Anolis sagrei: one gene and its partners. The protein of the gene in region 2 interacts with the protein of the main gene of each other region in a pairwise test. Links are inferred from orthologs where the notes say so. Each region holds a gene or a part of one and is shown on either strand. Other genes may lie near its edges.

Region 1 (8,266 bases), on a different chromosome or scaffold from region 2:
CAACCCCCTGCCAAGAAGCAGGAAAATCACATTCAAAGCACCCCCGACAGATGGCCATCCAGCCTCTGTTTAAAAGCCTCCAAAGGAGGAACCTCCACCGGACTCGAGAGAAGAGAGTTCCACTGCTGAACAGCTCACAGTTAGGAAGTTCTTCCTAATATTCTGGTGGAATCTCCTTTCCTGTTGTTTGAAGCCATTGTTCTGCTTCTCAGTTTCCAGAGCAGCAGAAAACAAGCCTGCTCCCTCCCCTCCCTATTACTTTTCCTCATATATTTATACATGGCTATCGTGTCTTCTCTCAGCGTTTTCTTAAACAACACTTCTTCATAGTATTACAATTAATTTACTAAAGGTAGTGAGATTAAAATGCATGTACATCCAAGTATTTTAATTTAATTGGAATATGAAACTGTTCATAGACTTCAAACAATATTATAAAGCTGACTGAAGCTCTGTTGATGTCACTCAAGTTTTATTGTGTCTCATTTCTCAGATATACAGAGGAATGCAATACTGAGCTACTCCAGCACTACATTATTCTATATAGATTTATAATGAGCAGAGTGCAATTTAGTAGCAATAAAGCAGAACAATTTCAGCAAGTAACTAAGGAGTCTGTGTGTCTCACCAAGAGCAGGCATGGATGGCTTTCCTTTGCCTTCTAGCCTTTTAAGGGTTCCTAGTGTTCTTTTTGATTATTTATTCAAAACAATTAGGTATAGAAAAGAACAAAGAATTACAAATGGAAAGGAAACTAAGTCAACAGCTAACTCATATATAGATGAAAGTATACATACTTATACTGAGGAAGTGCACAGCCAAGCATCAGGAACATTAGTCCAACAGCTCCCCCAAAGGACAGGCTGATCAAAGCTATAAAGAGAAACAAAATCGTATCAGTGTTCCAAAATTTCTGAACATTTTGCTCTGCAGACAAGAACGATACACCGAAAGGAGATGAAAGTACTGCTTCTATTTCTCTCACTAGAACCTTCCAGTTAAACCGCTTTGAAATAAAAATAAGAACACTGAATGCAGTTTGGTGGAAGGAAGTAGATTTTTAAAAGAAAAGTATAAACCCCCGTCCACAAGCATCACCTTTAGATAAGCTCATAAATAAGTAACTTCAGGACAGCTATTATTTAATACACTTCTATAGCCCTTTACATATTTAAAAATATTTTGAAATATTTACGGATGGATTTCGACAATGTCAATGAGATGGAACTGGTTTTAAAGGAATTGGTTTTAATGTCTTTTATCGTGTATTGTTGTTTAATCTTTGTGTTTTTGATTTTTATGTATTTTGACTTAGTATTACATCATGACTGAACAACATCAAATTATTGCCGAGTGTTAGCTGCTCTGAGTCCCTCAATGAGGAATAGAGGGCGAGATATAAAACAAAATAAAAATTAAGTGAATAAAGCAATATTTAAAATGTAAATACATAATTGCTGTCAATTACCTATTCAGCGATTGTGCTACTATATACCCAATACACACACACACACTAGCCATTCCCTGCCACGTGTTGCTGTGGCTCAGTCTGTGTATATGTGTTTTGTGTGTGTATATATGCGTATGTGTGTGTGTATATTTGTGTATATGTGTATATATGTGTGTATGTGTATATATGTGTGTTTGTGTATATATGTGATTTTGCACATGTGCTGCAGCATCTTTTTGCATTTTTTTTAGTTTATAAAGTCCCTTCTGCTGTGTTTTCAAGTGTTTTTATGAGTGACGGTCACTCATTGGCCTGACAGGTGTCTTGTGTCCAAATTTGGTGTCAATTCGCTCAGTGTTTTTTGAGTTATGTTAATCCCACAAATGAACATTACATTTTTATTTATGTAGATGGTAAAGGTTTCCCCTTGACATTAAGTGTAGTTGTGCCTGTTATGAGTGAAAGCAAAGTGTGTAAGTGGGTACGACAATTCAAAGATTTTTATTATTGTTATTGTGAAGTGCCTGTTCTCACGATTCCTCGCTTCAATTGAAGCCACCAAATCGTCTGTAATCAAAGAAGGGCGACCGGAGCGGTCCTCATCATGGACGTTGTCACTGCCATCTTTGAATTGTTGTACCCACTTATGCACTTTGCTTTCACTCATAACAGTATCACCGTACACTTCACAAATCTGTCGATGAATTTCTGCAGCAGGCAGGTTCCTTGCTGACAAAAATCATATCACTGAGCGAACCTCACATGAGGAGGGTGAGTTGATAGTCTGAAACATTTTTAAAGCACAGAACAGAACCGTACAGGTTAGCTACAGAGCGGAAACTGAACACAGTTGTTCCCGAGGCATGCTGGTACACGACGCACGCGCTCGTTGCGGTATGCGCGCGAACTACTAGTGTCTACAACAAAACGGACCTTACTTAAAAAATACCCCTCGTATTACATGTAATATAAAATATATAATTATAACATATTTTTATTATTAGCATTATACTGAATTACATTATAATAGTATAAATATTAAATGTATATACAATATATTACATTACATTATATATATGGGATCCTTTTGCAGTGGTGGGGCTAGTACTTGGACTGATGCCTATCCTGCCAAATTTCCATGACTGAAAGAAGTCGTTATATCAAAAATGTACACATTTAAAGCAGCTTTCCTATCACATGGCGGGGGGGGGGGGGAGGTATTGGTTTCCCACATCACATTGACAGGAGTGCCCCTCAACAGAGATGTAATGCAAGCATCCTCCAACTGTGGCCCTCCAGCTATTTGGGCCTCCAACTTCCAGAAGCCCCAGACAGCTTGTTCAATGGCCAGGAATTCTGGGAGTTGAAGGCCCAAACAGCTGGAGGGCCGCAGCTGGAGGCCTGATAGGATGTCTCTGCACAGGAAGGCTCAGTTCGAACCGCAGAAACTGTTTAAATCCAATGGGCCTAGACACTGCCCACTTCACATGGCCCCAACTGAAGGGAGGACAAGGCCTTCCTGGCTAAGCAGTCCCTCCTCCCGCCCGAGAAGGCCTCCGTTGCCATGGAAACAAAGCGGGGCCCCAAACGTTGTAAGGGGCGTCATCGCCCGGGGGCCCCAGCGCCCTCCCTCATTCCCCGGGAGCCCCCTTCCGCCTTGCCCGGCTAGCTCCCTCCCCTTCCTTCCCCTCAATGCCGCCACCGCGAAGCTACCTTTGATGCCGGCCATGATGCTGCTATTATTGTCGCACAGGCCGCTCCCAACTTTACCACCAAGTGGGAGAAAGGAGGCTAGACCGACCCGGAAGTAGGAGCTCTAAAGCCGTAACACTGTTTACTAAGAGCAGAGAGGCATGCGCAGGACACAACTTCCGCTTCATGTAGAGTTTATCTGTGGCTTCCAGTTAAGGCTGAGAAAAAGTGGGTTGCCTGAGGCTTTCAAGGTCTTTTCAAGCTCATGGTGCCCTTTAGGTGAACCTATCAGTGAGGTTTTCTTGGCAAGATTGTTTTCAGCGTGGTTTTGCCTCCCTTTGAGGTTGAGAGAGTGTGACTTGCCTCACGATCAAGGGTCTGGAGAACAAGCCCTATGAGGAGTGACTTAAAGAGGTGGGTATGTTTAGCCTGAAGAAGAGAAGGCTGACATGATGAGGTCCATGTATAAATATGTGAGAGGAAGTCATAGGGAGGAGGGAGCGAACTTGTTTTAGTCTGCCCTGATGACTAGGACGCAATGGAACAATGGCTTCAAACTTCAAGAAAGGAGATTCCATCTGAACATTAGGAAGAACTTCCTGACTGTAGGAGCTGTTCAGCAGTGGAACTCTCTGCCCCGGGGTGTGGTGGAAGCTCCTTCTTTGGGTGCTGTTAAACAGAGGCTGGATAGCCATCTGTAGGGGGTGCTTTGAATGTGATTTTCCTGCTTCTTGGCAGAATGGGGTTGGACTGGATAGCCCATGAGGTCGCTTCCAACTCTATGATTCTATGATCACTCAGACTGCATATGATTCAGCTGAAAGCAGGTAATCTGGATTCAGGAACTGGATTATATGGCAGTGTTGATGGGGCCTTAATGGGTTTCCACAGCTAAGTAGGGATGTGAACTTTGATCTTTCAAACCCTGTCTACACTGCCACATTATCGAGATTCCGAATCCAGATTATCTGCTTTGAACTGGATTGTATGACAGTGTAGATGGGTCCTTTATGGGTTTCCTTCACTAAGTGGGAATGGAAACCTGTATGTTTCAGGTCCTAACTACACTGCCTCATTACCCAATTTCTGAATCCAGATTATCGGCTTTGAACTGGATTATATTACAGTGTATATAATGGGGCCTTAATGGGTTTCCATGGCTAAGTGGGGATATGAACCTTGATTTTTCAGGCCCCGTCTACACTGCTGCATTATTCAGTTTCTGAATCCAGATTACCTGCTTTGAACTGGATTATATGACAGGGTAGACTCATGTAATCTAGCTCAAAGTACATAATCTGGATTCGGAAACTGGATTCTATGGCACTGTTGTAGATCTAGCCTTAGGGTCCTTCCTCAGGGTTACTGACATTAGTTGAGTAGACCATCTGTAAAGTACTGTGATTTTAAGTGACATGGGACAAACTACAGAATACCAGAGCTAGGTAGTTCCTGGAAATAAACATTTTAATTTTTTACCTTAAGCTTTCCATAAGAAATAATCTAGCCAGGAAATAAATTAGCCAGGAAAAATAATGTTAATGGTCTATGGTGAATACCAGGTGCAGTGGGCAATATTTCAGAGGAAGGAAATGGAAAAGACACCCTCTGAGTGTCTAAGAAAACTCTACAAAATGCTCAGGGTTGCCATAAATCAATAGGTGTCTTGAAGTGGGTACACATATATGGATGGTCACCACTAATCCACTCGGAAACAAAAGGCAGTGGGGGTTAAATTCTAAATTGGCCTGTGTTCTTTCCTTTGAATATCAGCTTCTATGACATTATCATCCTTTCTTAACTCAACTGTTGGCTCCTGGTAGCAGATGGCAATATTATAGGATGTCTTCACTATTGTGGGTCTTATATAATAATAATAAAAAACTTTATTTATATACCGCTCTATCTCCCCTAGGGGACTCAGAGCGGTTTCCACAAAACAGACATAAAACATACAGAATAAAATCTATACTGCCACGTAATCCAGTTTCTGAATCCAGATTATCTGCTTTGAACTTGATTACATAAGTCTACAATGTTGTATCCCACTGTGTTAATTTGCCTTTATTGTTTTTAGGTTATTGTTTTTATTGTGGTATATTATTTTAATTTTTACTTTAATTTAATTCAAGCTATTATCTTGCTGTATGTATTTCATTTGTTTATTGTATTTGTTGGGCTTGGCCTCACGTTAGCCGCCCCGAGTTCCTGAGGGGAGATGGTGGCGGGGTATAAAGAAAGTTTAATAATAATAATAATAATAATAATAATAATGACATATTATTTTACTGATGCAAAACCACAGTATGTCACAGTAAACGAGATCTCTATCCTGGATTCCGTATCACAAAATCACAAGCCGAACACTTCCCAAGCGGCTAGGACTGTGTGATATATTTTTGAATGATGCATGCAGATCCAAGTAAAGTGGCCTTTTGCAGTTGACAGATAGTGATTTTATCAGTGTTGATTGTTTCCAAATGCCGGCTGAGATCTTTTGGCGCCGATGACCACTGGGACCACCGGTACTGGCTTATGCCAGAGCCTTTGCAGTTCGATTTTGAGGTCTTGATAACGTTTTGAGTTTTTCCTGTTGTTTTTTCTCAATGCGACTGTCACCCGGTATGGTGACATCAATAATCCAGACTTTTTTCTTTTCCACAGTCGTGATGTCTGCTGTATTATGATCCAAAACCTTGTCAGTCTGGATTTGAAAGTCCCACAGTATTTTTGCGTGTTTGTTTTCCACTACCTTTGCGGGTTTATGATCCCACCAATTCGTTACTGCTGGTAGGTGGTACTTGTGACATAAGTTCCAGTGAATCATCTGGGCCACAGAGTTGTGCCTCTGTTTGTAGTCAGTCTGTTTGATTTTCTTGCAACAGCTGAGGATATGATCAATGGTTTCATCCGCATTTTGATGACATATAATTCAGTTGGGGAAAAAAAATCTGGATTCAGAAACTGGGTTAAATGGAACTGCAGACAGGAACCCAGTGTCCTAACCCAATACTTGAAGCAATACACCACAATGGTTGGAGCCCCTGGTGGCCCAGTGGGTTAAACCCCTGTGCCGGCAGGACTGAAGGCCGACAGGTCGCAGGTTAGAATCCAGGGAGGCGAATGAGCTCCCTCTACCAGCTCCAGCTCCTCAAGCGGGGACATGAGAGAAGCCTCCCACAAGGATGATAAAACATCAGAACATCCGGGCGTCCCCTAGGCAACGTCCTTGCAGACGGCCAATTCTCTCACACCAGAAGTGACTTGCAGTTTCTCAAGTCTCCTGACACGACAAAAAAACCCCACAATGGCTCTCTAGGCAGTAATATACTGCATCATACATATATTGCAAAACTATTGCATAGATATAATAATATGTTTCATCATACAGCTGAATACAAATGCACTGTGACTCGCTCCACAAGGTCCAACAAAAACTCGGGATATTTCTGACGTCCACAGGAGTTTGCTTAGTAACAGTGAATCACCATATGGTCCCTATTACACTCAGCGCAATCCTATTGGCTGTAGGTCACAGGCGGAGCCAATGACAGGCAAGGACACAACAAACCAATAGAAATGTTGGGACAGAAAAATCTCTCACATTCCCATTGTCTTAGACCACTAAGTGATGCTAAGCGTCTAGGCGTTTAGGACTTCAACTCCCAGAAACCTCAGCTACGTGAGCCAAAGACCAGGGATTCTGGGAACTGAAGTCCAAAATACCTAGACGAAAAGAACGCCTCTTCTCATTGGCTGGGCTTGCGCGGAAGGCGGGCGTCAAAACCAAACACAACGACATAGCCAGCGCTAAGATGGCGGCGCCCGGCCCCTTCGGGAGGTGGGACTAGAACTGCGGGCGGCCAATCAGAGGCCTCGCGAGCCGGAGCGGATGCGCCACAGGGCCAAGGCTGAGCCGAGCTCCACTCGCTGGTGAAGGAGCAGAGATGAGGTCGCGGGGGCTGGCGCTGCCGCTGTTGGTGGTGCTGACGGGAGCCGGCCTGGTTCGGGCCTGGGCGCAGCCGGGTAAGGGAAGCGCTCCGGTGGTCGAGGAGCTCCTTCTCTCTGCCGCTGGGCTGTGGGAGCCCGGTTGCCAAGGCGCGGCTGAGCAGCGGAGGCCTGGCTCCCTCAGCCACTCTCTCAGCCTAGGAGGAAGTCAGCAAAGGCAGGCTTCCCCCTCAGGCGGAAGCGACGCGAAGGCACACAACGGCAACAGCGCTTTTATTATATTTGCTGATTTTAATTGTGTTTAAATGTTTTTAATGCCCCTTCCACGCAGCTGAATAAAATCCCACATCTGCTTTGAACTGGGATATATGGCCGTGTGGACTCGGAACCCTTCCACACAGCCCTATATCCCAGAATATCAAGGCAGGAAATCCCACATTATCTGAGTGTGGACTCGGACAACCCAGTTCAAAGCAGATATTGTGGGATTTTCTGCCTTGATATTCTGGGATATAGGGCTGTGTGGAAGGGCCCTCAGACTGCCACGCCATGCTGGAAGGCATAGGCATTAATAATTATAGGCAAGACTTAACTAGCGGCAACAAAAATATGTGCAGGTATGCCTTATATCACACTGGCAACAAAGATCCACATAGTCAAAGCCATGGTATTCCCTGTAGTAACCTACGGATGTGAGAGCTGGACCTTAGGGAAGGCTGAGCGAAGGAAGATAGATGCTTTTGAGCTGTGGTGTTGGAGGAAAGTTCTGAGAGTGCCTTGGACTGCGAGAAGATCCAACCAGTCCATCCTCCAGGAAATAAAGCCCGACTGCTCACTGGAGGGAAAGACACTAGAGACAAAGTTGAAGTACTTTGGCCACATCATGAGGAGACAGGAAAGCCTAGAGAAGACAATTATGCTGGGGAAAGTGGAAGGAAAAAGGAAGAGGGGCCGACCAAGGGCAAGATGGATGGATGGCATCCTTGAAGTGACTGGACTGACCTTGAAGGAGCTGGGGGTGGTGACGGCTGACAGGGAGCTCTGTCGTGGGCTGGTCCATGAGGTCACGAAGAGTCGGAGATGACTGAACGAATGAACAACATGCCTTATATAATGTTAATATCCAGGACCATAATCTACATTCAGATAGGACCGGGCTGTGGCACAACTAGTTAG
Region 2 (7,831 bases):
GAGGAATGGGTTGGAAAGAAAAGGGTGAAGGAAGGGGAAGGAAAGAAAAGGAGGACTGGGAATCAAGGGAAAGGATGGATGGAGGGAGGAAGCAATGGAAGGAAGGAAGGAAGGAAGGAAGGAAGGAAGGAAGGAAGGAAGGAAGGAAGGAAGGAAGGAAATGTGGCAGCGCCTTTCAGCCAAAGCAGTTCTTATTTTGGTGGACATAAACACGAGTGCTCTGCAAGAGGATTGAAGGAAACAGAACGGACACCCCAAGTGGCCAATCCCCCCCAGCCGGTTGCAGAACAGGCCCACCTCCTGCACGTGAGCCCAGAAATCCCAAAGGGAAAGTAAACAGAGCCACCGTGGAATGGGAGTGTGTTCCCAAACTCAAACGCATGGGCAGAGGCATGGCCAAGGACGAGGCCACCATCATTCTGTGTGCTTGACCAGGCCTGAAGGGGGGCTTGGGCCCCAGGGAACTGACCCAACGGCCCATGAAGGAAGGCCTGAAGGGCAGCCATCTCCTTGCACAGCCCTTTGGAAAAGTCCTCCTGGTCAGTCGTAAGGCCGAACAGGGCATAGGGTTACAGCCTGTGCTGGACGGGGTTCCACTCCCCCTGAAAACGCAGGTTCGCAGCTTGGGAGTGATCCTGGACTCATCACTGAGCCTGGAAACCCAGGTCTCAGCGGTGGCCGGGAGAGCTTTTGCGCAATTAAAACTTGTGCACCAGTTGCGCCCGTACCTTGGGAAGTCTGATCTGGCCACGGTGGTCCACGCTCTTGTTACATCCTGAATAGACTACTGCAATGCGCTCTACGTGGGGTTGCCCTTGAAGATTGTTCAGAAACTTCAACTAGTCCAGCGAGCGGCAGCCAGATTGCTCACTGGAGCGACATACAGGGAGCATACCACCCCTCTGCTGTGCCAGCTCCACTGGCTGCCGATTCAGTTCCGAGCACAATTCAAGGTGCTGGTTTTGACCTACAAAACCCTGTACGGTTCTGGTCCAGTGTATCTGTCCGAACATATCTCCCTCTACGTCCCACCCTGGAGTCTGCGATCATCTGGGGAGGTCCTGCTCTCGACCCCACCACTGTCACAAGTGAGGCTGGTGGGGACGAGGAGCAGGGCTTTCTCAGTGGTAGCCCCTCACCTGTGGAACTCACTCCCAGGGGAAATCAGGGCATCATCATCCCTCCTCGCCTTCAGGAGAAGGGTGAAGACGTGGTTATGGGACCAGGCCTTTGGGCACTCCGGCAATTAAATCAGACAACCAGGCGAGTAAGACCAGCAGGATTGATGAAGTGGAACGGAAAACTAGATCTATGAGTAGCAAACGCTGACCATGTAAGAGGACAAACTGGGTTTGTATTTGGTTTTATTGATTTTATGGTTATAATGTATATTTGGTGTTAACTGTGTATTGATGTAATTTTGTGTTTGATTGTTTTTATGATGCAGGCATCAAATTGTGCCTTGCTTTTGTAAGCCGCCCTGAGTCCCCTTCGGGGTGAGAAGGGCGGGGTAAAAGAACCCCAAATAAATAAATAAAAAATAGGGCCGGGCCCACGGGACACATCCCTCCGGCCCCTACGGCACCCACGGCGCATGCCCTCCGAGGTGCTTTTATGGAATGCATGTAAACTGCGCTGTGCCCAGCCTCGGGCCAAAAAGAGAGAGGCCGGTAAGGAATGACAATAATAACAATAATGAAAATAATAATAACAGTACATGTCATTGGGGACCTTGAGACAAAAAGAGAGGTGGGTAAGGAATAACAATGATAATAATAATAGTATTAATAATGCATGTTGTGCCCTGCTTCGAGCCAAAAGGAGGGGTGGGAAATAAATAAATAAATAAAGAATGAATGAATGAATAAATAATATATAAATAATAAACCCTCAATACCATATTTACTGGAATCTTCTGCCATGGCACAGGATGAATCATATGAATGAATAACAAATATAATAGTAATAATAATAAAAACAATGGCGACTAAGGAAGGAGCTTCCACCATTATTACTATTATTATTATTATTATTATTACTACTGTTATACTGTATTTTTATGGATTAATATGCTCCATTCTATGTCATGGCAGATCCCCCCTCCCATCATCATCATCATGTTTCTTTATATAGCTAATTATTATATATTAATATAATTCATTGAATCCTAGAGTTGGAAGAGACCTGGTGGGCCATCCTCCAGTCCAACCTCCTTCTGCCAAGAAGCAGGAATATTGCATTCAAAGCACCCCTGACAGATGGCCATCCAGCCTCTGCTTAAAAGCTTCCAAAGAAGGAAAGAGCCTCCACCACACTCCACGGCAGAGAGTTCCACTGCTGAACGGCTCTCCCAGTCAGGAAGTTCTTCCTCAGGTTCAGGTGGAATCTCCTCTCTTGTAGTTTGGAGCCTTTGCTCCATTGCGTCCTAGTCTCCAAGGAAAGGAAGCAGAAAGGAAGCTTGCTCCCTCCTCCTCCCTAGGACGTATTCCCCTCACATAGTTATACCTGGCCGTGATATCTCATGGCAGCTCCCCCTCCCATTATTATTATTACATATTAATATGAATTATGATTGTTATTCTTATTATATATTAATATGATCCATCATGTCATGGCAGCTCCCCCCTCCCATTATTATTATTATTGTTATTGTATATTAAGATGAATATGATTTATCATATGTCATCGTAGTCCCCCTCCCCATCATCATCACCATTATTATTATATATTAATATGATTCATCATATGTTATGGTAGCTCCCCTTCCCATCATTATTATTATTATTATTATTATTATTATATATTAATAAGATTCATTAGATGTCATGGTAGATCCCCCTCCCATTATTATTATTATTATTATTATTATTATTATTATTATTCTATGCTAATCCTATTCATGATATCCCATGGCAGCTCCCCCTTCTTCTTCTTCTATGTTAACACAGACAGGATGCCCCTTAGTAACAGGTGCAAGCCCAGATGGGTCACGTCCCCCCCCGCCCCCCTTACCTGCCGCTGGTGGTGGTGGGCGGGGGGCGTGCCTTGCGGGGGGCGTGGCGGCCCTGCCTGGGCCCCGCCCCCGGCCCCTCCTGCTGCTGCTGTTGCTGGTGTGGGGAGCTGGGCGTGGTGCTGGTGGTGCTGGTGTTGCGTGTGTGCGCCCCCTGGGGGGGTGTCCCGGCGGCGCAGGATCTCTGAGCGGAGTTCGAGGTAGCATCCGAGGGTGAGGAGGTGCAGCGAGAGCGAGAGCGCCAGGAACGCCCCCAGCGCCCGCCACACCCACGCCGAGCACGCCAGAGCCGGAGCAGCGGGAGCGGGGGGGAGAGGCGGCTCCGAGCCCATGGCGGCGCTACGACGCCCGCATCCTCCTGCCTGCCTGCCTGCCTGCCTGCCTTCCTTCCTTCCTTCCTGCCCGCCTGCTCGCCCGCCCGCCCGCCTGCCTTCTGGCCTGGAAGCCGCCCGCGCCAGGAGGAAGCCCCAGGGGGCGGAGCCCGGGAGGGGGCGGGGCCAAGCGGAGAGAAGGAGGGAGGGAGCGCCGACTCGCGCTCTCCCCGCTCCAGGCCACGCCCCCCTCGCAGGCAGGCAGGCAGGCAGGCTCCGGAAACAGGGAGACCCTCAGGGGGCGGGGCCAAGGGAGGGAGGGAGGGAGGGCCGCCCCCTTCGCAGGCCCCGCCCCCTTGCCGCTAGGAGAGACCCCTTCAGGGGGCGGGGCCAAGACAGGAGCACGGGCGGAGGGCGGGGCTTCAGCAGGGAGACCCTCAGGGGCGGGGCCAAGGGAGAGAGGGCCGCCCCCTTCTCAGGCCCCGCCCCCTCGCAGCACGGAGAGAGACCCTCAGGGGGCGGCGCCAGGCCAGGAGCGGAGGGCGGGGCTTCAGCCGGGAGACCCCTCAGGGGGCGGGGCCAAGGGAGGGAGGGAGGGAGGGCCGCCCCCTCGCTGGCTTTCCCCGCCCTCGGCTCCGTCTCCTCTCAACGCCCCCCAGGGGGAGGGGCCAAGCCAGGAGGAGGAGGCGGGGCTTCTGGAGGGAAGGCGTGGCTTCGGGAAGGAGCCAGTAGGGAGAGCCCCTCAGGGGGCGGGGCCAAGGGAGAGAGGGCCGCCCCCTTCTCAGGCCCCGCCCCCTCGCAGCACGGAGAGAGCCCCTTAGGGGGCGGGGCCAAGACAAGAGGGCGCGGCTTCGGGAAGGAGCCCGCAGAGAGACCCTTAGGGGGCGGGCCAAGGGGAAACCCGCCCCCTCGCTGGCTCCGCCTCCTCTCAAGGCCCCCCCAGGGGGAGGCGGGGCTTCTCCCTGCTCGCTCGCCCCGCCCCCTTCGCAGCCCAAGAGGGCTGGCTGCCCGGAAGTCCCGCCTTCCTTCCCGGGAGATGTGCGGAAGGCAGTCTCAGGAAGGAGCTGGCCAAGGTGCTGACGGGGGGAGGGGAGGGCGACCCCGTGGGTGAGCCAGGAAGGCAGGGCAGGCATGCCATTGGGAGCCCCCCAGGAGGGAGAGAGAACAGCCATAGAGACCCACACTGGGAGTAAATGAGGAGTATGACAAGGACTATTAATTATTCATCTAATAATAATAATAATAATGGAATAGAGGATATCTCCGATCCCATGGTCTGTTTTCCGAGCTGGGCGGCCTTTGGGGAGGGGGGGCCCTCCGGCGGATTTCCTAATCTCCTGCCCCCCCCGGCCCCCCTCGCCCCCCCCCCGCCTGGAAGCCCTTCCGGCGAGGTCACGAGGCCTGGCCCCGCCCTCTCGAGACAAAAGGGGGCGGAGCCGCTCCTCTAAGGAAGGCGAGGCGAGGGCGCCACCTGGCGGGCGCCGAGGGGAAGGGCAGGCAGGGAGGGGGCCTGCTATGGGAGAGGCATCAACAACATCTCAACATGGGAACTTGTGGGTTGTGGTAGGTTTTTCCGGGCTAGATGGCCACGTTCTGGAGGCAGTTTTTCTCCTGACGTTTCGCCTGCATCTATGGCAAGCACCCTCAGAGGTAGTGAGGTCTGAGGATGCTTGCCACAGATGCAGGCGAAACGTCAGGAGAAAAGTTGCCTCCAGAACATGGCCATCTAGCCCGGAAAAACCTACCACAACCCCTCAGTGATTCCGGCCATGAAAGCCTTTGACAATACATTGGAACTGGTGCCACAAAGATCCGGGTGGGATCGCCAGCCTGCCTAGAGTCACAGGAAACGAACACGTCAGACCACTCTGGGACTTCCGGATTCAGGCTGAGTGAGCACACGACTCCTGACCTCACAACTGTGGGGAAAAACCAAGTGTGCCTGGGTCATGGATTTGCCAATCCCAGGCGATCAACGAGAAGCAACTGGAAAAGCTGACACGATGCGAGGATTGAAAGATCGAGCTGCAAAGCCAATCGTGGGGGTGTCGTCGAGGGCATCCCTGACCCCTGCCTTCAAGCTGATCTGACCAGCCGCAGGGGGTTCCACAGTTCCTGGATGCCCAGTTGGGCTGAAACTGATGAAACTGGTGCCCCCGCAAGAGCAGCCTCAACCGGGGACTCTTTGCCGCCCTGTGCTCTTTCCTCTCACTCCTTTTCCCAGCCCAAACTAGGTAACAAATCCCTCAATAAAGATTAAATGAATTGTAACCCTAACCTCTCCAGAATGATACTTTGTGTCCCTTTCCTGGTTCAAACTGACTTGGACATTAAGATCGTCCAGGGAGGCCCTGCTCTCGGTCCCGCCTGCGTCACAGGCGCGTCTGGTGGGGACGAGGGACAGGGCCTTCTCGGTGGTGGCCCCTCAGCTATGGAATGCCTTACCTGTAGACATCAGACAGGCCCCTTCGTTGTTGGCGTTTCGGAGGAAGGTTAAGACTTGGCTTTATGAGCAAGCGTTTGGCTAAACAGTGCAACTGAACACAGAAAGACGGTAAAATTGAACATAGGAATGGCACAAGGATTATGAGAACGGATCTGATTTCATTGAGGCGTTATGACATGATTTGATAGTTGTTGTTGATTTTGTTTGTTGTATATGATGTGTTTTAATTGCCTATGACATTGTTTGATAACCTGTATTGTGTAAACCGCATTGAGTCGCCTGACTGGGCTGAAAAATGTGGTATAGAAATAAAGCAAATAAATAAATAAATGCATGAAACAACCTTTTCTGGGCTGCGGGAGACCGCAGGCCTGCCTGGGATGCCTTCCTGGCGTCCCAGGGAGGCTGAATCTGCTTTCCTTCAAACCGCGGATACAGAAACCCTTCGGGGCCCCATATCCGCAAGTTGACGGATCGACTCCATTTTGATGCCATATCTTTCCTAGCTAAATTCTAACCCTATCTGCCATCTCGCTTTTTTGCATTTTGGGCCCCTAGGCTCAGGGAATAACCTTTGGTTTATCAAGAATATTTTTTAAAAGGAGAACAGTCAAAATCCAAGCCTCATCATCAGGCTTCAGCCCTTGGAAGGAGCTATAGTTTTCCAAGGACCAAGGACCAGCTTCGACCTCAGCACTGCAGGACTCCATCTTTTGGCTCAGTGGAAGTCACCAGACTCCTTTTTGTGACTTGGACTTTCTGTCATATACTTTTGGACTTCATTTAAAAAAAAAACCTTTTTCACCCATGAATTTTTCCAAAATGAACTATGAACTCAAACTGTGCTGTGATTAAAATTGCTCTGTTTGGGGGGGGGGGGGATGCCTGGATATGATTTTTCATCAAGATTACTAGATTTCTATATTTCCCTTCATGTATCTGACCTTGCCCTGACCCTTTTACCCCCTTTCCCCTTTCCTTGAGGGAAGTTGCCCTGTCTCTGAAAAGCAATTAGCGATCATGAAAGTACCCTTATCTTAGGACATTTCTTGCGTGGACAATAACAAAGGAATATCTTTCTTGACTTCGGAGTAGGGCCATCAAGAGGATTTCCGCTTGGCAGACTTTTTAATCATATAATAATGGGGGAAAGATGACCTTCGTAAAGCCCTTTCCCTCCCAACCCGTTTTTCTTTCAAATCTCTCCACTAAAGACATTCACCAAAGTCTTCCCCTTTGTGCTCTATCTGATCGCAAGCGGAAAAGCCGGATTAAGTGATCAATGCTTATTGCAGACCCATCTCAAGACAATAAAGTTGGTTTTTCTGGCAGGCAGGTTCCAGACTCGTTAAGCCTCCAGGTTATTAAACTCCATAATCCACTCAAGAATGCATTGTATCTCTTTGTCTCGCCTCCCTCCCTTCTGATTCACTGGAGTGTCGAGGTGGGGGAGCCTCCTGATTGGCTCAGGCGCACCGCGGAAGCCCTATGATTGGCCCAGGCGCACAGAGAACGGCCAAGCTGTTAGCGCGCCAGCCAATCACCATCGGGAATTTTGAAACTCACAACTCTGTATTTTCTATAAAAATGGCATTTATTTCTGTAACCACATGCTCTGCTTGACGAATGATCGCGGCTTTGCATCCTTTTCAGCTGAATCACTAATAAACATCTCGGTGGTGCTTCTTCAACCTTGGTGAGATTCTGTTTGGGAACCTAGGGAAATAAAAATTGCTTAAAATCAGGCTTCTCTTTGCTCACCAATGTAGTGATCCCTCTTTGGTGAGGCCACAGGGTCTCTCCTCCTGGGGCAGACCCTCCTGAAGTTCCTATCGACTTCAGGGGTCCCGGAGGTGATGGGCACACTGGGTGCAGTGCCTCAAGACCTTGGCCTGCACTTAAATGTAAGTACGATTACATTTAAGATAATGTAAGATTCTCCCTGACCACATTTTGCACAAAATGTCCTTAGAAGCACTTTATTTTTGGTTTGTGCAATGAAATCCTTCCTCATTCCCGGAGCCTCCTCCATATAATTTACAATGTCCTATCTCCCAATGTTTT
Region 3 (7,980 bases), on a different chromosome or scaffold from region 2:
GCTGTAATGTGGCCTCCTCAAATTCCAAAGTTTATTGCACCTGATTTAAATATGCATGTAAGCTAATGAGTTATCTACACCATCTAAGAAGGTGTTTGTGTCACGTCGCATCTGACCACATGTTTGGAAGGGTATATAAAGGGGGGTGTATCCAGAGGCGGCCCTAGGTAATTTTCAACGGTAAGCAAACAGTATTTTGCCCCCCCCCCAACCAATCATTGATATATATTTTCTGTTTGTCGTGGGAGTTCTGTGTGCCATATTTGGTCCAATTCCATCCTTGGTGGAGTTCAGAATGCTCTTTGATTGTAGGTGAACTATACATCCCAGTAACTACACTTGCCGCACTTGCTCCCTTGCCTGGCCCGCTTTGGGTCCGGAGGCGTGCCTGAAGACCCCGGCGTGTGCACCAAAAGTCACCTCTTCTCCTGACTTTCTCCTCAGCCATTGGGACCGAGAGAGAGAGAGAGAGAGAGGTGGAGATGCCCACCTTTCCTGAAGGTAGGCGCAAAAACAAAGGAGGGAGCGGAGGTGGGAGATACCTCCAGCCGGAGGGGCTCTCTCTCTCTCTCTCTCTCTCTCTCTCTCTCTCTTGGTCTCAATGGCTGAAGAGAAAGTCAGGAGAAGAGGCGACTTTTGGTGCGCACGCTGGGGTCTTCAGACACACCTCTGGACCCGAAGTGAGCCAGGCATGCCGGCTCCGCCCCTTGGCCCACCTGTGGATTGGGGAGAGGAAGCGGGTGGAGCGCCGGGGGATCAGGAAAGGGAGCCGGTCATGGGGAAGGGATCGAACGCGGAGAACAATTGAGCGCCGGCTCTGCTCGTGCACCCGATGGCCGGGTGGACCACTTTCTCACTTTAGGAAATACGCATGCAAAATAACTATTCAGACACAGAGTTAAAGATAAAACAATTTGCTTACTAAGAACATCTTGCATGATGTAAAGTCATACAGTAACAGATCTTTGGGTTACATTCAGAGTTGGGCCTTAAAGATGGGAAGCAGGCCTCTCTCCTCCAAACAGGTACATCCCAAAAGTAGCAAAACAGAGCAAAATAGAGCAAAAAGAGCAAATGGGGGGGGGGGGGGGACAAAGGGATACACCCCCCCTTTATATACCCTTCCAAAGACGCAACGTGACACAAACACCTTCAGAGATGGTGGATAACTCATTAGCTTACATGCATATTTAAATCAGGTGCAATAAACTTTGGAATTTGAGGAGGTCACGTTACAGCATGGCACAAAACAGGAAGGTGTGTGAGGTTGCATCTGCCCAACAACACAGTCATAGAATCCTAGAATCCAAGAGTTGGAAGAGACCTCCTGGGCCATCATCCAGTCCAACCCCCTTCTGCCTAGAAGCAGGAATATTGCATTCAAATCACCCCTGACAGATGGCCATCCAGCCTCTGCTTAAAAGCTTCCAAAGAAGGAGCCTCCACCACACTCCCTCCGGGGCAGAGAGTTCCACTGCTGAACAACTCCCACAGTCATAGAATCCTAGAATCCTAGAGTTGGAAGAGACCTCCTGGGCCATCATCCAGTCCGACCCTCTTCTGCCAACATTGCGTTCAAATCACCCCCAACAGATGGCCATCCAGCCTCTGTTTCAAAGTTCCCTCATGCTCAGAAAGTTCTTCCTCATGCTCAGGTGGAATCTCCTTTCTTGGAATCCTAGAGTCCTGGAGCTGGGAGAGACCTGGTGGGCCATCGTCCAGTCCCCCCCCCCCCATTCTGCCAAGAAGCAGGACAGTCGCCTTCAAATCCCCCTGACAGATGGCACACCTGGGTGGTTTTTCAGATGTTGTCCCCGGCCCCTCCTGCCAGGGCCCCCCCTCCCTGGTCGTGGGGCAAGGGAAGGAGGCCTGCCTGGGGCAGAAGGGAGCCCCCCCCCCCAACAGGCCCCCTCACTTGCCGCAGAAGGAATGCCTGGCACCAGGGAGAGGGAGCCGGCTTCCTTTCTCCTGCCTTGGAGGCTGGGCCTGAATGGAGCCCCGGGTTCCAATCCCAGGAAAGAGGGTTCTGTCTAGACACTCCCAGGAAGGACTCCCTGGCTGTGAGGAGTCAAGGTTTCCGCCTCGGAGTCTGGCAGCGGCGCCTTCCTCGGAGGCCTTGAAACAGGGGCTGGGTGGCCATCTGTCAGGAGGGCTTCAATTGTGCTTTTCCTGGCTGGAAAAGGAAAGAAGGGTCTGGCCTGGCTGGCCTTGAGGGTCCTTCCGAGGCCAGGAATGTAGCCAGGGGGGAGGGGGCTCGGGGGGGGGGGCTTCAGGCACCCCCCCCCCCCCAAATTCTGATGGTGGTCCGCGAGAAGGCCTGACTGGTGCATTATTTAAACTGTTGTGTTTATTCATATCATGATCTGATCACCATGCTCAATATATCCCATATGCATGGAGGGGGTATTATTGGGGTACGGATGCAAAAGGTTGGCTAGGGTAGACCCTCTTTCACTCAGGCTCAGCACCCCCGCCCCCAATCAAACTCACCCCCCCCCCCCGAATCAAAATCCTGGCTACGGTCCTGGCCGGAGGGATGGCCCGGCCTGCCCCACGCCCCCCTCCCACTTTCACTCAGGCTCAGCACCCCCGCCCCCAATCAAACTCACCCCCCCCCCTCGAATCAAAATCCTGGCTACGGTCCTGGCCGGAGGGATGGCCCGGCCTGCCCCACGCCCCCCTCCCACCTCTTCCCTGCCAGGAACATTCGGGGGGGGGGAGGGAGGGGAGAAGCCCCTTCGCAGCCCCTTGTTCTTCCTGCCACGGGGTCCGGGCCATCCGTGTACCCCCCCCCCCCCCCCACACACACACACACCCACTCCCTGCATGGGCGGACAGGCAGCCCCACCCCCCCCCTCTCTCTCTCCCAAACCTGTGTCAGAACAGGTGGCTCCTCTTCCTGGGGGCGCCGTGAGGGGGGGAGGCATGGGTCGGGGGGGTCCCGGAGGAGGAGGAGGAGGGAAGTGGCCAAGGGAGGGGAGCAGCCGGGCTCGGGGCCCCCCGCACCCCTCCAGGCCAGAGAGAAGGGGGGAGGGGGAGGGAAAGAGGGCACGGGGCCCAGCAGGGAGGGAGGGAGGGCCCGTCTTCTTCTCTTCTTCCTCCTCCTCCTCCTCCTCCTCTTGGGGCCCGGGGGGCTGCCTTCGTGCCTTCAGCCCCCCCCCCCCCTCCTTCCCCTTCCCTTCCCTTTCCCTACCTGAGCCCGGCCTCGGAGGAGAGCAGCCCCGAGAAGAAGGAGAAGGAGAAGAAGGGCGGCGGCGGAGGACACGTTGCTCTCCTCCTCCTCCTTCCTCCTCCTCTTCTTCCTCCTCCGCCTCTCCTGCCTTTCCCCTCCCTCGCAGCAGACCAGGAGGAGGAGGAGGAGGCGGGGACGTCTTTGGCACCTGGGACCCCGCCCTGCTGCCCCGCCCCCCCCCCCCCTCGCCCGCCCGCCCGCCTCCCTTGGCTATCAATCAAAGCAGAAGAGCGCCCGGCACCCAATGGAGGTGAGGCGCAGGTAAGGCCAGGGTCCGGCCAATGGGAGGGCGGCTCCGGGGTGGCGGGAGGGGCCCAAGGGGCAGGAGCGGGCGGGGCCCCACCTTATCATAGAATCCTAGAAGAGTGGGAAGAGACCTCCTGGGCCATCATCCAGTCCAACCCCATTCTGCCAAGAAGCAGGAATATTGCAGTCAAATCACCCCTGACAGATGGCCATCCAGCCTCTGCTTAAAAGCCTCCAAAGAAGGAGCCTCCACCACACTCCCTCAGGGGCAGAGAGTTCCACTGCTGAACGGTCTCACGGTCAGGAAGTTCTTCCTCAAGTACAGGTGGAATCTCCTCTCTTGGAGTTTGAAGCCATGGCTCCATTGCGTCCAGGCATGTAGCCAGGGGGGGGGGGGGGGGCTTCAGCCATCCCCCCCCCCCGAAATTCTCATGGTGGTTCGTGAAAAGGCCTGACTGGTGCATTATTTAAACTGTTATGTTTATTCATATCAGGATCTGATCACCATGCTCAATATATCCCACATGCATGGGGGTATAATTGGGGTAATGATACAAAAGGTTTGCTAGGCTAGACCCTCTTTCACTCAGACTCAGCCCCCCCCCCCCGAAACTCAGCCCCCCCCCAAAACTCAGCCCCCCCGAAACCCCTCTTGAAAAAAATTCAGCCCCCCCCCCCCCGAAACCCCTCCTGAAAAAAATTCAGCCCCCCCCCCCCCCCGAAACGAAATCCTGGCTACGGGCCTGATGGGTGCTCACCTACAAAGCCCTGAACGGTTTGGGACCAGTCTACCTGCGTGACCGCATCTCAGTCTAGAAACCCACGCGTTCACTATGCTCATCTGGAGAGGCCCTGCTTGTGATCCCGCCTGCGTCGCAAGCACGCTTGGTGGGGACACGAGACAGGGCCTTTTCCGTGGTGCCCCCCCCTCTCTGGAACACTCTCCCCAAAGATCTGAGACAGGCTCCTACATTGGCAGTCTTCAGAAAGAATTTGAAGACCTGGCTGTTCCGACGTGCCTTCCCAGAATAGGAAATCTCCTATCCCAAGTCCCATGAGCACTTTATTAGAATAAGATTGCCGCACACTGCACACTGCACTTGCTCTATAACCCTTACATATCACCTGTCACATCAGCACTTTTTAATCCTGTACCCTTTACTCTGGCCCGGCCTAGTTCTATCTTGTTTGATGTACTGCTTATTGCCTGTGGTTTCGTTGTTTTAATATTGTTTTAATTTCCTTTTAGTTTTAATTTCCTTTAAGTGTATTGTTGTGTTCTGTATTGAGGCCTTGGCCTTTGTAAGCCGCATCGAGTCCTTCGGGAGATGCTAGCAGGGTACAAATAAAGTATAATAATAATAATAATAATAATAATGATAATAATAATAATAATAATAATAGGGACATGCAGGTTGAGAACCACTGATGTAGACCTTGCATATACCAAAAAAACATACTGGAGATCCAAATACATTGTATTGTCATATCTGTTCTCTGTGGCTGGGAAATCATCTCCCATATATTGGCACTTTTATAGCATAGTTTTATATGGGGGAGGGGGGAACATAAACTATTTCTTACCATGTATTAATATTGTGATGAGAAACTAACTGTGACAGTTCTGAGCTACACTTTTATAGTCAACACTCACAAAAGTCACAGAAAAAGCACTATTTGGGTCAGTTAATGATGATCTATGTGGTCTCTTCCAACTCTGTTATCCTAGGATTCCAATATCACTCTCCTAGTCACTTTTGCCATCAACTTCTGGTCGATAAACATCCCATTTTATCATACAGTCTTTCACTTGCTCATCTTCCAACTGAAATGTAAAAAAATAATAATATGTATTTTCCAATATTACCAATTATCTGTTCACAATATGTGCGTAACCGACCCTTTTGGATTAGTGAGAGAGTGCTTCCTGTTAAACTCTTCTACACCAATTATGTAACTTCCAATAAAGAACACCCGAGGCGCCATCATGCATTCTGCCATACGTAGCTTCACAGAATGCAGTTCAAAGCAGTTCAACGATATCCTATAGTATTGCAGATGGGGCCTGGTGGCAAGGGTTGCCTAAACTGTTGTTGACATGGAGGCAGCCTCAGCTGATCACAAACACTCTGATGCCATGAATGATGATGATGATGATGAGGTCACTATGGGGATGACCTTCAGGTCTGAGCAGAGGTGGCAGCTGGGAGGGAGAGAGGCTGGCCACTTGCCAGGCAGCCAACTCCTGTCCAGTTGTTTCTTTGGATCTGTTACAGATGTGGTTATATGCGGCTTGACTACACTACATAGAAGACCCAGATGTACCTTGAATTCAACACAGAGTTCATCTGCTATGCACATGTATTTTTGGTGAGTATTCTAGGTTTTCCCGGTTGAATGCTATTTTGCCCCATTTAGGCCAAGTCTGGGGATGCTCCTTCTTCCCTATGGCATGGGAGTCTCATTCTGACATTAGCAGACTCGATTGGTGACAGACAGGCAGTCGCGCAGAGCTCCATGGCCCCCAAGAAATGGTGGTGGTGGTGACACAAAGGATGATGATGTCCCACTGTGGCCACATTGGAAATATGAAATTTCCTTTGTGACGTTTCTGATCCGTTCCTGGTTAATTGACCCGCGATTGGGGAAAGAAGGAACCTTTCCCAAAGTTTTTAGTGCTGTATATTTTAGTAAAGTGGAAACATGTGGCATCTTTTACATTAATTGTTATTTAAAAGAACAGAAATACAAACATGCAAGCAAGCAGAATAAAGACTCTACCAAGGAAGAGGAAGAGACAAAAATGTTTTTCTATATGCAAAACTAAATGACAGCCAGGAACAGAACTCTAAGGCGATCATGCTAATCGATGCAACCCACACTGCTCAGAAGAAGTCCCATAGAATGACTCTGTGAGACGGAGCCCCCAGCCAGTGGCGCAAAGGGTGAAACCCTCGTGTCAGCAGCAGGACTGCTCTTTGGGAACCAGACGCCTTGTGCCGTGGACTCAAGCCCTTCCTTCCTTCCTTCCTTCCTTCCTTCCTTTCTTTCTTTCTTTCTTTCTTTCTTTCTTTCTTTCTTTCTTTCTGCAGGAGCACAGCTTGGACTACAAGCCCCACAAGACACACCAAGGGTGAGGCCAAGCTTTCAGGCAAAGCTCCAGGCACATCAACACCCACCCCGCCCCCCATGGGACAAGTATGTCTGGATAAGTGGTACCATGAAGATCTGTCTCATGAAGAAATGCTCACACGTATGGCTGAGAAAGACCCAGGCCTGTTTGGTTGCCAACGATGCAAGAAGGATGCTGCAAGTGGCTTCCAACTGACACCAGAGCTCTTGGGTTGCCCCGTTCCTCCTCCTCAGGTGAGTCCAAGGCAGCACAGGACAAAGTTTGTTCTAGAAGTCTTGGGTAGTCTTTGCATTTCCTTCTCTGGTTCATTAAAGCAGTTTGAACTGGTCTGGCTGGCTTCCCGGCATGGGGTCTCCACTCCTCTTCCCTGCTGGACTTCTGATCTGGGAAGGGAGCCAGGTGGGGGGCAACAGGCATCCTCATATTTTAGATCTGGGCCCAAAATTGGGTCCTTCACCAAGCTGGTGAAGCTGCCTTGTGTCATGGGATGTCCTTCTTCTCATTCTCCTCAGGTGAAAAGCCTCACAAGTGTTGGGATACGGCAGAGATCTCAGCCAGGGTTTCAGCCGGATCAAGCCCAGTCGGAAACATCCTCTGTGCCAAAGACTTGGAGAGAAAGGTGAATTTGCGGAGACAACAGGAGACAACAGCACCAGGAGTGAGAGCCAGGTGGAATCCGAGGAAAGCAAGAGAACCACGACTACGCCAAGGCGGCGTTTGGCCTTCTTCTTCTTCTTCCTGATGGGTTGCCCAATGCCCAATGTTCCTCTCCTCAACCGTCTGGATGTTGGATCCACTTCTGGCTAGATTGGAACTCAACAGGACATCACAGCATTGACCAGTCGTGAACAGAACTGAGCCCAAAACATCTTGAGATGAGAGTAGAAGGCCATGGTTGAAGGAAGACAGGCTGAACCGTCCTCTTTTCTTCTGCTTTTTAATTCTTCCCACCAGTTTGAAATCCCAAAGACTTGAGATGTGTGTTCAGTTGTGGCAAAAGTCTGACTGTTCAATCCCCCCCCCTCCCATCCTTTCCCCTCCCCCCTCCCCCTCCCTCCCTCCCTCCCTCCCCTCCCCTCCCCTCCCCCTCCCTCCCCCTCCCTCCCTCCCCTCCCCTTCCTTCTCCCCTCCCCACATCTGACACACCACACACATCACACAGAACACTTCATCACACAGAACACACACATCAGGTCATACATAATATACACGCCTCATACACCAGGCAAACCACACACATCACACATCACACACCACACACATGTCACACAACATGCTATATTCCTGCTTCTTGGCGGAATGGGGTTGGACTGGATGGCCCATGAGGTCTCTTCCAACTCTTTGATTCTAGGATTCTATGAACATGCCC
Region 4 (8,305 bases), on a different chromosome or scaffold from region 2:
ATATTCTGAGATACAGGGCTGTGTGGAAGGACCTTGAGTCTACATTGCCATATAATCCAGTTCTAAGCAGATATATAAACTCCATTTTCCTAGTTTCCAACAAACCTCACAACCTCTGAGGATGCCTGCCATAGATGCAGGCGAAACATCAGGAGGGAATGCTTCTGGAAACATGGCCATACAGCCTGGAAAACTAACAACAACCCAGATAATGTTGATTTTATACAGTTGTGCAGAAGGAACCTGAGCCATGGCAGTTCAAGTGGTTCCAAACTGTATTAATTCTACAGGGCGGATGCAGCCTTGGCCATTCTTGGTTATTATTTGTTGGTGATTTAGAGCTATGATAATGCATCAAAGGCATTTCTGTTCCATTCTAGGGTTTTTTTTTCTTTCTCAAGGGAACTGACTCTCGGGCTGGATCTACACTGCAATGTTATCCTGGTTATCAGAGCAGATAATCCACATCTGCTTTGAACTGGATTAGATGACTCTACACTGCCATATAATCCAAACTGGATAACCAGGTGTAGATCCAGCCTCATTGGATGCATCTACACCACGCATGGGCAAACTTTGGCCCTCCAGCTGTTTTGGACTTCAACACCCACAATTTCTAACAGCTGGTATTTGGATTTAAAGTCCAAAACACCTGGAGGGCCGAAGTTTGCCCATGCCTAATCTACACTGTAGAATGAATGCAGTTTGATACCACTTTTAACTGCCATGGTTTGATTGGGGCATTGTAGTTTTATTTAGCTTACTTTGCCAAATATACTGGTGCGTCACCAAACTATGACTCCAAGGCTTCTATAGCACTGAGTCATGGCAGTTCAAGTGGGATCAAATTGCATTCATTCTACATTGTAGATCAGTGGTTCTCAGCCTGGGGTCCCCAGAAGTTTTTGGCCTTCAACTCCCAGAAATCCTAACAGCTGATAAACTGGCTGGGATTTCTGGGAGTTGTAGGCCAAAAATATCTGGGAACCCCAGGTTGAGAACCTCTGGTGTAGATACACCCTTCATTTCCACCCTTTTTCGTCAGGGCAAAGATTATGTGAGGGAATTAGGGAAAGACCCTTAATGTAATCTACAAAGTGCCCCTCCCTTGGTTTTGGCCCAAACTGTGACCTCAACCCCAGAGGGTTTTCAAAGCAGAAGTTGGGGCGGGGTTTTGCAGAAAAGGAAGGAGATCCTCACTCCCACATCCGTGGTTTTTAGTCAGAAGTGTGAGAAGGTGTTAAAGCGAGGTCAAACTGCATTCATTCAATATTGTAGATGCAGTCGTAATGGAAATCTTAATGTCAGGAATCTCTTAATGATCTTTAAATGTCAACAGTGCATTGAAGAAACAGAGAGAGACCTTATAGGGCAGTGTTTCTCAAGCTTCCTAATGCCGCAACCCCTTATTGCATACAGTTCCTCATGTTGTGGTGACCCCCAACCATAAAATTATTTTTGTTGCTACTTCATAACTATAATTTTGCTACTGTTATGAATTGTCATGTAAATATCTGATATGCAGGATGTATTTTCATTCACTGGAACAAATTTGGCACAAATACCCGATACGCCCAAATTTGAGGGTTGGGGGGGGGGGTATAGATTTTGTCATTTGGGAGTTGTAGTTGCTGGGATTTATATTTAACCTACAATTAAAGAACATTCGGAACTCCACCAACGATGGAATTGTTGGAATTGGCACACAGAACTCCCATGACCAACAGATAATATTGGAAGGGTTTGGTGGGCATTGACTCTGAGTTTTGGAGTTGTAGTTCACCTACATCCAGAGAGTACAGTGAACTCAAACAATGATAGATCTGGACCAAACTTGGCACTAATACTCAATATGCCCAAATGTGAACACTGGTGGAGTTTGGGAAAATAGACCTTGACATTTGGGAGTTATGGTTGCTGGGATTTATAATTCATCTACAATCAAAGAGCATTCTGAACCCCACCAAACTTCCCATACAGCAGTCGTTCTCAACCTGTGGGACCCCAGGTGTTTTGGCCTACAACTCCCAGAAATCCCACCCAATTTACCAGCTCTTAAGATTTCTGGGAGTTGAAAGCCAAAACATCTGGGGACCTACAGGTTGAGAACCACTGCCATACAGAATCCCCATGACCAACAGAAAATACTGTGTTTTCTGGTGGTCTTTGGCGACCCCTCTGAGACCCCCTTGCAGGCCCCCAGGGATCCGGAGCCCCAGGTTGAGAAAAGCTGCCTTTTAGGGAGATATGTTTCTCTCTTGCTGAGTCTCTTTTAATCTTCCCTCTGTAAATATCCTGAAGGCACCAGATCTTGGAAGATAAGCAGATTCATCCCAGATTAGTACTTGGACAGCAGACCACCTACCAGTATCTGATTCTGTAGGCTATATTTCAAAGGTGGGAAATGGCAAAACCACCTCTGAGTATTCCTTGTCTTCACTAAACCTCACTAAAATCATGGAGCCACCATAAACTGACAAGCAACTTAAAGGCACACGCACACCAGATGTACTGTATTCCCTTTTGCTTTCATTTTTCTGCTTCTTCAGTTGATTAAACTCAATCTAGATATTTTAGGGCGTTTACGAGGATTCAGACAGACTTCTTGGAACAGCCTGTGCTCAAATTGAAAAGGAAGAAAAACAAAGAAGTTGCTGGCTAAATTTTGGGTTTTCTTCCCCCACTGGCAACACGTGGCATAAAGGAGAAACGAAAAGGCTTTAGATAAAAAAGCAAGTCTCTTGAAAGAAACTGTGTTCCTAACAGGAGGTTTAAAGTGAAAATCATAATAAAAGATGTAAAGGAATCCAGTAGCATTTTGAGATAAAGGAAAAGACATTTCCAGCACAAGCATTCTTCGGCTCCTGTGTTGGATGAAGTGGACTGAAGCCCAGAAAAGCTTTATTTTCGTAGTCTTAAGAGGATTTTTTTTTACAGTACCTTCCCCACCCCCAAACAAAACAATCTTTTGTGTTATTTTAATAAGAATTTGCACTTCGTTAAAAGGTACGCTAAGGCTGCTGTGATATGTACATGGATTCAAAAGTGAAGGTCCATTGAATATAGGAGGCCCAACCCAGTGATTCATTCCAACTAGAGGGAATCATTTAAATGTATTGTCGAAGGCTCTCATGGCCGGAATCACTGGATTTCTGTGAGTTTTCCGGGCTGTATGGCCATGTTCCGGAAGCATTCTCTCCTGATGTTTCGTCCACATCTATAACAGGCATCCTCAGAGGTTGTGAGGAGGTCTATGGGGAAACTAGGTAAGTGGGGTTTATCCATCTGTGGAGGGGAATGTTCAGGGTGGGAGAAAGAACTCTCTGTTGGAGGCAAGTGTGAATGTTGCAATTGGCCACCTTGATTAGCCTTGAATAGCCTTGCAGCTTCAAAGCCAGGCTGCTTCCTGCATGGGGGAATCCTTTGTTAGGAGGTATTAGCTGGCCCTGATTGTTTTCTGTTTGGAATTCTACTGTCTACTGTTCTACTTTTAGAAATTTTGTAATACTAGCAGCCAGATTGAGGGCCCACTGGTGGCGGAGTGGGTTAAACCACTGAGCTGCTGAACTTGCTGACCAAAAGGTTGGCAGTTCAAATCTGGGGAATGGGGTGAGCTCCCGCTACTAGGCCCAGCTTTTGCCAACCTAGCAGTTTGAAAACATGCAAATGTGAGTAGATCAATAGGTACTGCACCGGTGGGAAGGTAACCATGCTCCATGCAGTCATGCTGGCCACATGACCTTGGAGTGTCTATGACGTCAGCTCTTCGGCTTAGAAATGGAGATGAGCACCACATCCCAGAGTTGGACGTGACTAGACTTAATTTCAGGGGAAACCTTTACTTTTACCTTTAGCCAGATTTTGTTCATTTTCATGAGAAGACAAGAGTTCTTTCTCCCACCCTGGACATTCCACAGATATATAAACCATGCTTGCCTAGTTGCCAACAGACCTCACAACCTCTGAGGATACCAGCCATAGATGTGGGAGAAACATCAAGAGAAAATGCTTCTGGAACATGACCATACAGTCTGGAAAACTCACAGCAACCCATCAATGCTTAAGTAATCAATGCTTAAGCAAATCAAGTAACTATTGTCTATTATGGATGGAGATTGTGGGAAAATTCCTTTCCGGATTTCAATTCCCAGAATTCTGTAACTGATATGGATTCTGGGGAAAATCCATGCTGACTGAGAAAAATAGTCCAGAAAAAGGAATTTTGCCACACTGGTCATGTACTGAAGGATTTGGGGAGGAAGCTGGAAGAGAGAGATCCCTATAAATTGGGCACTAAGGGAGACTCCAGACTCCTATTTCGGCACCATAGGTGCATATAGACTGTAGAATGAATGTGGTTCGACGCCACTTGAGCTGCCATGAGCAAATGCTATGAGATCCTGGGAGTTGTAGTTTGGAAAGGCGCCAGCACTCTTTACCTAAATCCTGTGTCAAACAACAACTCCCAGGATTCCATAGCATTGAGCTGGTGGCAGTTCAAGTGGTGTCAAGCTACAGTCATTTTCCAGTGTAGACCAGGCATGGGCAAACTTGGGCCCTCCAGGTGCTTTGGACTCCAACTCCCACAATTCCTAACAGCCTCAGGCCCCTTTCTTTCCCCCCTCAGCCGCTTAAGCGCTTAAGCGGCTGAGGGGAAAAAGGAAAGGGCCTGAGGCTGTTAGGAATTGTGGGAGTTGGGGTCCAAAACACCTGGAGGGCCCAAGTTTGCCCATGCCTGGTCTAGATGCACTCATAGACTAATCCCACTCTGAAAGGATTAATGGCTGTCTGCCTTCAGTGCCTGGATGGCTTGTCCTTGAGAAAGGATGATTTAACACACACACACACTTCTAAAAGTAGTGGAGTATTGTTCAGGACAGGAGCAAACTCGAAATCCAGCATTGAGACAGTAAACTGGAACTACTGTAGTGTTTGGGAGGTGATTGGAAGGTGACAGCCATGGGGAGGAGCAGGTGGGTGGGCTAGAAATACATGTAAATTTCCACCTTTCCCATTTGTAAGTTCCTGGATCAGTTTCCAGCCCACCCACTGCTGAGTGAGTGTGTTTAGGATTGTGCTGCAATCCAACCCAGCAGACTTCCTGAGGAAACATGCATGGCCTTTTAATTCTATGGGATTCCTCACTAACTTTGAGTAAGTCATTCAGTAAACATTTTCAAAACTTTATTTTGTGCATGTATTTTCTGTGTTTTTACTGAATTTATCGAATTATCTCTGGTTTAATCTAGCTCAAATTTTTGTCTCTTGTGTTTTCATTACCAACTTGGCTCTATCAGCATAGTATATGTGTATGTTAACTTATGGTGATCCCATTAATTTCATAAGGTTGTAGGATAAAAATCCTTGAGATTCACATTTGTCCTCCAGATCTCTCACATATCAAGTAAAATTCTTCCCACTGTTTAAACCATCTCTTGTTGGTTGGAATGGGAAACTTGGAATGGGCAAACTTGGATCCTCGGAGTGTTTTGGACTTCAACTCCCACAATTTCTGACAACCTCAGGCCCTTTCTTTTTCCCCCTCAGCTGTTAGGAATTGTGGGAGCTGAAGTCCAAAATACGCTGAGGGCCCAAGTTTGCCCATGCTTGGTCTACCTCAGTGGTTCTCAACTTTCCCAATGCCGCGACCCCTTAATACAGTTCCTCATGTTGTGTTGACCCCCAACCATAACATCATTTTCATTGCTACTTCATAATTGTAATATCGCTACTGTTATTAATCATAATGTAAATGTCCGATATGCAGGATTTTTCATTCATTGGACCTAATTTGGCACAAATACCCAATACACCCAAATTTGAATACTGGTGGTGTTCAGGGGAGATTATTTTTGTCATTTGGGAGTTGTAGTTGCTAGGATTTATAGTTCACCTACAATCAAAGAGCATTCTGAACTCCACCAGCAATGGAATTGAACCAAACTTGGAACACAGAACTCTCATGACCAACACAAAATACTGGAAGAGTTTGGTGGGCAGTGACCTTGAGTTTTAGAGTTGTAGTTCACCTACATCCAGAGAGCACTGTGGACTCAAACAATGATGGATCTGGACCAAACTTGGCAAGAATATGCAATATGTCCAAATGTGAACACTGGTGGAGTTTGGGGAAAATAGAGCTTGACATTTGGGAGTTGTAGTTGCTGGGATTTATAGTTCACCTACAATCAAATTACATTCTGAACCCCACCAATGAGAGAATTGGGCCAAGCTTCCCACACAGAACCCCCAAAACCAACATAAAATACTGTGTTTTCTGATGATCTTTGGTGACTCCTCTGACACCCCCTTGTAACCCCCCCCCCCCGGGGTCCCAACCATCAGGTTCAGAAATGCTGGTCTAACTGGTGAATTTTGTGTCTGTCTTCAAGTTGCCTGCTGACATGGTAACCCCATGACTTTCACAGGGTTTTCTTAGGCAAGGAATACTCAGAGGTGGTTTTTTGCCAGTTCCACTCTATGACATACACCCTACAGCACTTAGTATTGGTTGGTGGTCTCTTGTCTAAGTATTAACCAGGGCTGACTCTGTTTAGTGTCCAAGATCAGACAAGATCTGGTGCCATTAAGGTAGTGTATTATTTACACAAGCTTGTTAAATGCCAACATCATCCTAAAATTTAATTAACTTGGGGCAATCTGACCAGGAATGTTTTTCAACCTGGAAAGCATCATTTGCAAAAGCATATTATACTAAACAGTAAGTGCAATAGAATTATTTGTGAAAAACAAGATCAGACATACTGTGGTTCAGATAGCGGGGGTGCTCCAAATGTTGTTGGACTGCTGCTTTCATTGGCCCTTCCCAGCATAGCCAGTGATGAAAAGGATGTTAACAGACCAAAACCATCTGGAGGGGGCTATCTCTTTCATTTTCAGTGTACTGTACATCTGGAATGGGCATCCCAACTAGAGGAAATAATTTAAAATGTGCTGTGAAGTTTTCTGGGCTGTATGGCCATGTCCCAGAAGTATTCTCTCCTGATGTTTTGCCCACATCTATGGCAGGCCGCCTCAAGAGGTTGTGAGGTCTATGGGAAACTAGGCAAGTGGGGTTTACGTATCTATGGTATGTCCGGGGTGGGAGAAAGAACTCTTGTCTTCTTGGCCACCTTGATTAGCCTTGCAACTTTAAAGTCTGGCTGCTTCCTGCCTAGAGGAAAGTAGTTCTTAAGCTGGGGTCCCCAGATGTTTTTGGCCTACAACTCCCAGAAATCCCAGCCAGTTTGCCAGCTGTTAGGATTTCTGGGAATTGAAGGCCAAAAAATCTGTGGACCCCAGGTTGAGAACCACTGTAGAAGGTGTTAGCTGACCCTGTTGTTCCCTGTCTGGAATTCCCCCCATTTTCTAAGTTTTGTTCTTTATTTACTGTCCTACTTTTAGAGTTTTTTAAAATACTGGTAGCCAGATTTTGTTCATTTTCATGACAGGACAAGAGTTCTTTCTCCCACCCTGCACATTCACAGATATATAAACCCCACTTGCCTAATTTCCAAAAGACCTCACAACCTGCCATAGATGTGGGTGAAACATCAGGAGAGAATGCTTCTGAAACTTTGCCCATGCCTGGTGTACATATTTAGGAAGAGTGCGTCCACACATGCACATGCAAACATAATTTTGCAGCACTGAAAAGGAAGCAGAAAAGAATGAAACAGCAATGTGGTAGATTATAAGATCCTAAAAGGCTGCCTTGATATATCCTCAAGTGTTCTTTAGTTTAAAATCATCCTGGCACATCTTGTTAATTATTCTCCTCCATTTTATTCTGATCCTAAAATTAAAGATTTCTCTCTGTTCCTTTCCCCCCTCTCTCCCCCTTTTTGTATGCGAAAGTAAACAAGGATAGCGAATTCCTTATTTTCCAGGGCTACCAGCATCCTTGAGTCAGAGATAAGAAGTCTGTGAAGTTTGTAGTTTATGTGATAATAGTAGATTGCGGGCTAAAGGATTAACTTGGAGAGGAATGTGTGCCCTCCTACTGTCCCAATGTGGGGGACAACCCACGTGTTAGCTACTTCCAAAATGTCCTTGGTTTTGCTTTACTCCTTTCTGCTTTTCAGTTTACTTCAATTAGTGTAAACAATAGTTTGCACTTGCATTAATTCAACAGGGGAGAGTTTTGCCCTTCCTAGTAAATTCAGACACAAGCAAATTGTTGCAGCCTCCCCTAGTTTTTGTGTTTTCCCCCTAATTAATAACTCAAGACTACGTTCTAATGTTGTTTGACCACATGTGTCACAGGTTTTGCCTGGAGGGTAAGGGAATGGGATGAAGTAGTTCG

Evidence for each region.
Region 1: the proteins of EDA (region 2) and LEPROTL1 interact in binary tests that used the Homo sapiens proteins (3 or more experiments, as listed by UniProt). The two-hybrid records come from large-scale screens. The link is inferred for Anolis sagrei from reciprocal best matches to the Homo sapiens genes EDA and LEPROTL1.
Region 3: the proteins of EDA (region 2) and CYB561 interact in binary tests that used the Homo sapiens proteins (3 or more experiments, as listed by UniProt). The two-hybrid records come from large-scale screens. The link is inferred for Anolis sagrei from reciprocal best matches to the Homo sapiens genes EDA and CYB561.
Region 4: the proteins of EDA (region 2) and EMP3 interact in binary tests that used the Homo sapiens proteins (3 or more experiments, as listed by UniProt). The two-hybrid records come from large-scale screens. The link is inferred for Anolis sagrei from reciprocal best matches to the Homo sapiens genes EDA and EMP3.

What each region holds. Positions count from the first base shown.
Region 1 is NC_090022.1:195,309,292-195,317,557, forward strand, and holds the start of LEPROTL1 (leptin receptor overlapping transcript-like 1), read right to left. Parts: upstream 3,272-8,266; 5' UTR 3,180-3,271; coding exon 3,164-3,179; intron 874-3,163; coding exon 798-873; intron 1-797. Other genes in the region: SARAF (store-operated calcium entry-associated regulatory factor), read left to right, coding at 7,090-7,168. UniProt on the Homo sapiens protein: Negatively regulates growth hormone (GH) receptor cell surface expression in liver. May play a role in liver resistance to GH during periods of reduced nutrient availability.
Region 2 is NC_090030.1:172,751-180,581, forward strand, and holds the start of EDA (ectodysplasin-A), read right to left. Parts: upstream 3,406-7,831; 5' UTR 3,343-3,405; coding exon 3,013-3,342; intron 1-3,012. UniProt on the Homo sapiens protein: Cytokine which is involved in epithelial-mesenchymal signaling during morphogenesis of ectodermal organs. Functions as a ligand activating the DEATH-domain containing receptors EDAR and EDA2R. May also play a role in cell adhesion.
Region 3 is NC_090021.1:345,162,219-345,170,198, forward strand, and holds the start of CYB561 (transmembrane ascorbate-dependent reductase CYB561), read right to left. Parts: upstream 3,360-7,980; 5' UTR 3,194-3,359; intron 1-3,193. UniProt on the Homo sapiens protein: Transmembrane reductase that uses ascorbate as an electron donor in the cytoplasm and transfers electrons across membranes to reduce monodehydro-L-ascorbate radical in the lumen of secretory vesicles.
Region 4 is NC_090026.1:19,343,642-19,351,946, reverse strand, and holds the start of EMP3 (epithelial membrane protein 3), read left to right. Parts: upstream 1-5,041; 5' UTR 5,042-5,111; coding exon 5,112-5,154; intron 5,155-8,305. UniProt on the Homo sapiens protein: Probably involved in cell proliferation and cell-cell interactions.